Linked DNA regions of Oryctolagus cuniculus. The protein of the gene in region 1 purifies or fractionates together with the protein of each later gene. This does not show direct contact. Links are inferred from orthologs where the notes say so. Each region holds a gene or a part of one and is shown in the gene's direction. Other genes may lie near its edges.

What was found. The genes of interacting proteins can lie anywhere in the genome.
Region 2: the proteins of ILF2 (region 1) and IGF2BP3 purify together in Homo sapiens (affinity purification with mass spectrometry; 3 studies listed by BioGRID and IntAct, counting the BioPlex papers as one, with this or other methods). This does not show direct contact. The link is inferred for Oryctolagus cuniculus from reciprocal best matches to the Homo sapiens genes ILF2 and IGF2BP3.

The regions. Positions count from the first base shown.
Region 1 is NC_091438.1:44,650,797-44,655,021, forward strand, and holds the start of ILF2 (interleukin enhancer-binding factor 2), read left to right. Parts: upstream 1-1,425; 5' UTR 1,426-1,492; coding exon 1,493-1,497; exon of another isoform or gene 1,498-1,543; coding exon of another isoform or gene 1,544-1,554; intron 1,555-1,875; coding exon 1,876-1,926; intron 1,927-2,052; coding exon 2,053-2,112; intron 2,113-2,350; coding exon 2,351-2,393; intron 2,394-3,052; coding exon 3,053-3,157; intron 3,158-3,491; coding exon 3,492-3,569; intron 3,570-3,888; coding exon 3,889-3,991; intron 3,992-4,225. UniProt on the Homo sapiens protein: Chromatin-interacting protein that forms a stable heterodimer with interleukin enhancer-binding factor 3/ILF3 and plays a role in several biological processes including transcription, innate immunity or cell growth.
Region 2 is NC_091447.1:15,444,523-15,448,641, reverse strand, and holds the start of IGF2BP3 (insulin-like growth factor 2 mRNA-binding protein 3), read left to right. Parts: upstream 1-1,319; 5' UTR 1,320-1,551; coding exon 1,552-1,726; intron 1,727-1,950; exon of another isoform or gene 1,951-2,121; intron 2,122-2,601; coding exon 2,602-2,662; intron 2,663-4,119. UniProt on the Homo sapiens protein: RNA-binding factor that may recruit target transcripts to cytoplasmic protein-RNA complexes (mRNPs). This transcript 'caging' into mRNPs allows mRNA transport and transient storage.

The DNA.
Region 1 (4,225 bases):
CCGAGACCCCAGGCCGGGCCCCGTGAGACCCCCAGCCACATAGCCCAGGTTCCTGTCTTCCCATGTGTGAGGATACAACTGGGAGAAGGAGACAGAGGTGAGCAGAGAAGCAGGATTTATCCAAGGATGAAAGGATAGCACACACCCAGGCTTGGGTCCTCCTTTTAGGGCGTGGGAATGGTGCTCAGGGCCTGATGGAAGATCCAAAGGAGGGATCCTACCAATCCTGGGATGATCCCGCCTCACAGCTTCACTTGCCAGATGCACAGTATTTGCATTTAAATCGATGCCATCACTTGGGCTTTTTGTAACCTTTCCACGCCTCAGCGTTGGTTAATGTTGTTAATGTCCCCTCTCGCTCACTGCAAGTTCCTTCACTCTGCTTTGCCCTGGCCGGGAAAGCAGCCGCTCTGGTTCCTCTGATCAGGGTGCATCGTATGTATTCTCTTTTCGTCTGGCTTCTTTCGCTTGACACGGTCCGGGTTCCTCCATGTTTTTGCACTCGTCAGCGATCTGCTCTTGTTAGATTTTCGTAGCACTCCGTTGTGTACACATAGACCAATTTGTCATCCACTCTCCATGAATTCAGTACGGCCAACTCGCCGAGACACGTGTAAATACCTCTAGGTTGTTTCCAGTTCGGGCCTCACTTTTCTGGGGACCACCACAAGGGGCTGCAGGCCCCCCCCCCCCCCCCCCCCCAGTGAGTGAGAGGGGACGCCGAGGAGGAACAAACGTTAAGGAAATGCAAATACCGTGTGTCCGTGTGGCCGGTGAGGGTGAGGCGGGATCATGCCAGGATTTGCAGGAGCAAAAAACAGGAACAGGAGAAGACGGGACCCGCCACTTTCTTGACTCTCCTTCTCTGATTTGTCATTCCAAGACTTTGTCAATTTTCCTTCTAACACCTCAAAGCTTGTTTCTCCACCACAGTCCATACACTCCTTCCCTTCTAGGGAAGGTACCTTTTACACGATGGCGGTAGAGGCAGAAGATGCGTTTCAAAAGCAGCAAAGATTGGCGAGATGGTTTTAAAGGAGGGAGTACTGTAGCAGCATGTGGAACTGAGAAGCGAAAAACAAAGCCCTTAGCAGAGGATGGTTTCGATCCATCGACCTCTGGGTTATGGGCCCAGCACGCTTCCGCTGCGCCACTCTGCTACTGGACACCAACCTTCCCGCTATTATAAAAGGCAATTCACTTGTTCGTCGTTTTTAAAGTCTATCCAGCGCCACCTAGTGTTGGCTCAAAAAATTTGTAATTACTGTCACGCCTGTTCTTATTGGCCGGTTCCTGGCACGATAGCCGTTTTTTATTGGTCCATAAGCCCGGTTCTCCAAAGCAAACCAATAAGCATAAGCGACAGAGCAAGGCGGGAGCCAATCGCAGCGCGTTTTGTTGGGACACGCCGGCCAGACGCCTTTCCAGTTGTCTGCTTCTCTGAGGAAAGGGGCGGTTGGTGCGGCCTCCATTGTTCGGTGTTAAGGGCGCCATGAGGTAGGGGGACCGAGGTGCTGGAAAGATTGTGGGTATCCGACCGAGAATGTTGGGAAGGTGGGTCGAGAGGAGTCGGAGGACCGGGCAGGGCCGCGCCTCTGCGGCCGGCCGGAACCCCGCGAACTCCGGGGCCGGCAGCGCGGGGAGCCCGGCGGGTGGAGGTGGGAGCGCGGGCCCGGCGTGGGCTGGGGCCGGGGCGGGGAGGCGGCGGGCGCCCGCCTCCGCGAGGGCGTCGTGCTCAGGCCGCCGGGGGAGCTTCCCCGCGTGCGGCGCTGGTCCTGACGGCCCGCGTGTGACGCCCGGCATGTGCCCGGCCGGGGCGCTGAGCGCCGGCTTTGGGGGCTGGCGTGCCCCCGGGTTATAGGGTCTTTCTCGCAGGGGCGCTGCGCGACGCTGTTACCTGGCGGATAAGTCGTCCGGCAGCAGGAGGTCACGAGCAGTGGGGGGCCGGGCGCCATTCGGGACGCGGGGTGGGAGGGGGCGGCGGCGGGCGGCCGGCGGGAAGCGAGGCCGGGCCGCGGCGGCTCCCAGGCAGTAACGTCTGTGCATTTCCAGGGGTGACAGAGGCCGTGGTCGCGGTGGGCGCTTCGGCTCCAGAGGCGGCCCGGGCGGAGGGTGAGTGCCAGTTTTCCTTGCTAGTTTGGGGCACCTAAGAGGAGGTTGGCGGGGTCTGAGGGTGTTTTTGTGCGAGCCGGCTGCGGGGTCACACCCTGCTTCTGCTGCGGGCCTTGCTCAGAAGCCCACTCGGCCCTCCGCAAGCTGTGCGTCTGTGTTTTCCAAATTGCTGGTGCATCGTGTACATCTTGCTTGATTGCTGTGTGCTGAATAATTTGAGCTGTTTGTCTTGTTGCAGGTTCAGGCCCTTTGTGCCGCATATCCCATTTGATTTCTATTTGGTAAGTGCTTTGGGTTGGTGAACGGGTCCTGACCCCTGGTCACCAGCAGATGGAGAAGTGGTGGAGGCCAACAGCCCCCTGACATGGTGGTCGCAGTAGGAGAAGGGATTTGGGAACGGCCTTGGGGTTGTGTGTTAGCATACTTGGCAATAACCTGATTATAATCTTTGAACAACTCATTGCATCTCTGGCTTATTTGTTAATATAAAGGTAGTAAGAACATAAATTATGGCTGTTCTTCTGGGTCCTTGTTGGAAGGTTTTTTCAAAAGATTTATTTATTTGAAAAGCACAGTGTCAGAGAAATAAATATCTTGCATCCACTGTTTCATTCATCAAATGGCCACGATAGCCAGGGCTGGGTCAGGCTGGAGCCAAGAGCCAGGAATTGCATCCTGGTCTCTCACATGGGTGACAAGGGCCCAGGAACTTGGGACATCATCCACTGCGTTCCCAAGATCATTAGCAGGCAGCTGGATTGGAAGTGGAGCAGCCGGGACTCTGTTATCAGAAGCCAGTGGCAGCTTAACCCACTGCACCGCAAGTGTTGCAGAATTTTCTGTGTTCAAGTTTTTCTGTTGCACTAATAGAGGAATAAAACCAGTCTCTCCTGTATGTTGTTGGTGGTCAATGGTTTATACTTGTTTGTTGGTGATTTAGTGTGAAATGGCTTTCCCCCGGGTCAAGCCGGCCCCTGATGAGACTTCCTTCAGTGAAGCTTTGCTGAAGAGGAATCAGGACCTTGCTCCCAATTCTGCCGAACAGGTGTGTGCTCGTGGCTCCCTTTCTGAGCTTTCTCCACAGAAGGGAAGTGGAGAGTAAGAATAGGTTCCCTGAGCCTGAGGCCCACCAAAGCTTGCATTCTTGTCTCACTGTGGTTGGAGATGGGGAGCGAGGTGAGCGTCTTAAACACATGGCATAGACATTTGTATTTTCACTGGGGAATCTGTCTGTGGCAAGTTCAAGACCAGAAGCACTGAGTTGTTTTTAGAACCTTCTGTTGATGGCTGGCAGCTTCCACAGAAGGGATCAGGAGAAAATATCCAAACTCAGAGCAATTGCTTACAACTTTTCATTTTGGGATTTTACTGTTTTTCAGGCTTCTATCCTTTCTCTGGTGACAAAAATAAACAATGTGATTGACAATTTGATTGTGGCTCCGGGGACATTTGAAGTGGTGAGTTTCTGATGACAGCCCCAGGAAAGGGCGGCCTTGGTGATGTGCAGATTTCCTTGGCTCCTGTCTCTTAGTTTTTCAGTTGCCTGAACCTGGACAGTACAGTGGGATTCCTTTCTTTGTTAATACTGATCCTGGGGATACGGTTTGTGTTGATACCAGCCGGCCATGACGGGCCAGGCTTTCATGTGGTTTCTTGGGGTAGGATTTTACCTTTGCTACTTCCAAGTCTGAGTAATAGGAAGCTGTTACCTATCACAGAGTTCTGAGAGCATCGAGGCATCTGAAATTTTTTTTCCTGAAATCTCTTTCCCAACAGCAAATTGAAGAAGTCCGGCAGGTAGGATCTTACAAAAAGGGAACAATGACTACAGGACACAATGTGGCTGACCTGGTGGTGATACTCAAGATCCTGCCGACGTGTGAGTGTCTGTCTTGTGACAGTGGGAACGGAATGTGGCAGGTTCTATGGCTTGAGGCCTAGGCTCTTTAAAGCTCAGCTTTCTTGTGAGAAAAGATTCTTTTTACAACATGACAAAGGAGAAACTGGAGTGAGTGAAAGAATGTATGGCCGGTTCTATAAGGCAGTATTTCTCAACTGGAGGCAGCCTGGGGAGGGGAGGCAAAAGAATGAGCCCATCCAGAATGTTATCTTT
Region 2 (4,119 bases), on another chromosome or scaffold:
CTGCGTAGGATTTCATTCACTTTAAAGACGAGCGTTTTCCATCTCTCCCCTGGACTGTCTGCTACGAGCCCATCCCAGGGCTCCGGTGCACCCGAAAGACCCTCGCAGGCTCCCCGCCCGAGGCCCTCCCCCACTCCCACCATTGTGCTCGCCCCAGGCCGGCGAGAGGCGCAGGGCTCGCCCCGCCGAAGGCGCGCACCGAGGCGGCAGGGAGCGGCTCGGGCCATTTTGCAAGTGAGGCTGCCACCCAGGACTGGCGCGGGGCGGTCTTCCCCCGCACGGCTCCCAAGTTCTCCAACTGAAATCGTCTCCATAAAAGTGCCAACCCGCCTCGCCGCCCCGAGATCGCGGTGGGGGGGGGGGGTCTCCCGCAGGCCGCCCCTCCCCCACCGGCGGCCGGGCCCGCCCCCGGCCTCATTTATCCCGGAGCCTTTTCCGAGCCGCGCAGCCAATGGCAATCGCGAAGCCGAGAGCCACCGCGAGCGCAGGCGGAGGAGGTGTCGCGCAGACGCCCGCCCCGGACGCCGCGCCCCTCCCCCGCCGGCTCCGGGGGCGCGGGGCTCGGCCCCCCGCCCCTCGCCGCGTCCGGTCCCCGCCGCCGGGGGGCGGGGCGGGGTGGGGACAGGCCCCGGCCCGCACCTCCGGCGTCTTCCAGGCAGCCAGGCGAGTTGGGGACGGTGACTCTCGGCCTTGGTCGTTCATCACCTATTTGCAAAAAAAAAAAAAAAAAAAAAAAGGAAAAAAATCGAATAATTAAAAACTGCGGTTCCGAGAGCCGGGGAACTGCCCAGCAAGCAACCCCAACCCCTGCACCCTGGAAAATAAAATCAATGCCCCGGCCTCCCCCCACCCCTCGCTCCCGCCCCGCCGGCCCCCGGGCAAACTCGGCGGCGCCCCCCGTCCCCCGCCACCCCGGCCGCGCCCCTCCCCCACGCCGCCCCGCCCCCACCCCACCCCCACCCCCACCCCCACCCCCACCGCCTCTCGCTCTCTGCCTCCTCTCCTCCGAAACCCACTCTAATTGAGGCGCCGGGATTCCTCACGTGAGACGTTGATTTGTAGCTTGAACACGTGGCTCATTCAAAAAGCCGGGCCCTCGCCGTGGATTCCTGCGCCCGCCCGCGCCCCTCCCGCGTGCCCGCCGCGCTGCGGGGGCCTGGTGGGGCGGCGCTGCGCCGGGCCCCGCGCCGGGCGCTATTTTCGCCGCGCGGCGGGGCCGGGCCGGGCCGGGGGTGGGGGGGGCGCCAAGTAGTTTCCTCCCCCGCCCCTCCCCCCGCGCGGGCTGGTCCCGCCTCCGCCTCTGCCTCCTCCTCCTCCTCCTCCTCCTCGGAGTTGGGAAGACTCGTGGATGCGCCCGGGCTGGGGCTGGGCTTTCTCTCTCCTCGCTCTCGGTTGCAGCGCCCGGGAAGGGGCACCCCGCGCCCCCCGGACCCGGGCTCGGCGCGCGCGGACCTGCGGGACCTGGCCCTCGCCGCTGCCGTGTTTTTCATTTTTTCGTCCCCCCACCCCACCCCGCGCTGTGTTCCTGTTTCCGAGCCGCCCCCTTTCGCGATGAACAAACTGTACATCGGGAACCTGGGCGAGGACGCGGCGCCCGCGGACCTCGAAAGTATCTTCAAGGACGCCCAGATCCCGGTGTCGGGGCCCTTCCTGGTGAAGGCGGGCTACGCCTTCGTGGACTGCCCGGACGACGGCTGGGCCCTCAAGGCCATCGAGGCGCTCTCAGGTGGGCCCCGGCCTGGCCGCCGCGCCCGGAGGCGCCACGGGACCCCAGGCCGGGCACTCAGCGCGCGGCGCGGGGGTCCAAGGGCCCGGGCCGGACGCGCTGTCAAGAAAGCCCCGCGCGGGCACGGAGGGGCGCGGGGCCGCGGCGGGCGCGCGCTCCAGGCCCCGCCACGCCGGGCCCGGGCCGGGCGCGGGCGCCTGCTCGCCCTGCTGCTCCCTGCGGGCTAACCTCTGCTCGCTAACTCGTGGCCTGGACCCGGCTGCCTCTCGGCCTAAGGGAGCGCACGGTATCCCGGACACGGGCTGCCTAGGGAGGCCGCGGGGCTGGTGCCTTGCACGGGCGGTCCCGCGCCGCCCCGGCTCCACCTCGCCCCGTCCGACGCGCGCCGGGGGCAGGTGGGCTCGGGCGGCGGCGGCCTCCGGGACTGGCGGGGCGCGCGCGCTGGTCCGGGGCGCGCGGGGCGACGAGGCCTGGGGCGGCAAGGTTGCGCTGGTTCCCTCCGAGAGCCCTGAGTCTTAGGGCTTCTCCTCCTACCGACTCAGCCTGGCTGTGGGCGCTCGGCTCGCCCTGTGCTCGGCCGCACGTCCGGCCGGCCCCGGCTCCGGCGCCAACGGTTCCCGGAGGGCCTGGGCTGGGACCAGAGAACAGGACTGGGCGCCCTCTCCCCCGAGTCGGCCCTGTGGGGGAGGGTCCTGGAGAGGCCGGAGAGACCCGGTGCCTGGCTGCCACCCGAGGGGCCCCCACTTCCCGAGGGGCCCGCTGCCCACCAGCGTAGCGGCGGCGCCGAGGCCTCGGGGCGGCCGGTGGCGCCGCCCAGGGTGTGTGGGGCTCGGGGCTCCGGCGACCCGACAGTCTCATGTCTCGTGTGTCCGCAGGTAAAACGGAACTGCACGGGAAGCCCATCGAAGTTGAGCACTCGGTCCCAAAACGGCAGAGGTGAGCGTCTTTATTCTTTTCTCGCCCCATTGTTGGGAGCCCAGACTCCACCGAGCGCAAACCCTTTCCCCGCACCCCGCCCCGGGCTCTTGGCCATTGTGCTGGCGAGGAAGGGGGTCTCTCGGAGGACGCTCTGGGCATAGCAGGTCTAGGTGGTGCCGCAGGGCGCGGGAGGCTGCGGCCGGCCCAGGTGCGGTGGGCCTGCCCGGGAGCCGGGGCGCGAGGCCGGAGCTCGCCCCTACCCTGCTGGCGCGCCGGCCGCGCTTGGGTCCCGTCCCGAAGCCTGGGCTTCCCGGCCCAGCGGAGCCTCTCTCGGCCCCTCCAGACTCACACAGGTCTTTGCCGACCGTGCCTTTGTCTCCCTCTGCGCCCCCACGCCCCCTGCCCCCTTTTTCCTGGGTCTCTCTTTGCTTTCAGCTGAGCCCCAGGGTGGTGAGACGGGGAGGTGGGTGCTAGCTCTGCAGGAGGATTTCTCCGAGAACGTGCGTAGCGTGCCTTTTTTGGGGCAGCGTTGTGCAGACTCCTCGAGCCTCTGAAGTGTTTTCCAGACCAGGCCGGATCGGGCTCTGTAATCCTGTGTGTGGCGCTGGGTTCTTGCAGGGTGGCCCTGGGGCTCCTGCTTCCCACCGCCCCACTCCTTGCCGGGGCCTGACAAGGAGCTCCAGGCTGCCGCGCCCCGGGGCCTGCGTACGTGCGGCCTGGCGTCGGGGAGAGCGAGCTGGGGGCCGCACGGTTCGCTGTGCGGACGCGCGCCGGCGTCCGGCCGCCCCTGCTTCTACAACCAGCTGCCTTCCGGGTAAAGCGTTTGCAAACTGAGTCTCGTTTCTAGGAATGAGTCGGCTTGGTTTTACGTGGAGGTCTCTGGTTTTAGGCGCTGAATTTTCGTTAGGATACGTAGGAAAGGGAGTAACCGATTAGATTTAGTTGTAGTTGGGAATTATGTTTAATTACATGAAATTATTTTTAAAAACCTGTAAAATAATAGAATTTGTACTGAAAAGTCTCAGTTGATGTTAATTGAACGGGACTTGAAGAAAGGAGAAGTCTTATCCCTCTAAAAAGAAATGTATACGTCTAGCATGTGAATTGTGAACCTAAATACACACACACACACACACCTCTACACCTGCAAATTCTAAATGATTTCAGAGTTTAAGCACTGTCTTAGTTTTCATCAAATGTTGAATTAAAAGTAAGAAAATGGTAATGCTTTAAGGACTGGCATTTTAACAGTGGAGAGTTTTAAATGTAAATACTTAGTGTCTTGTTTTCAGGTAGATTGGATTAACCTACATGCAAATATATGATGGCTTCACCCTCTTGCTTTTTGTTTCCAACTGTTGTGAATTTCTTCTCACTTGTAGGGGATTGAGAAACATCTTCTGGTAACAACTGCTTGTTTTAAAGGTTTTTTTTTTTGCCTAGCCCTGAACATGCTTGTTACTTTGTAATGGGCG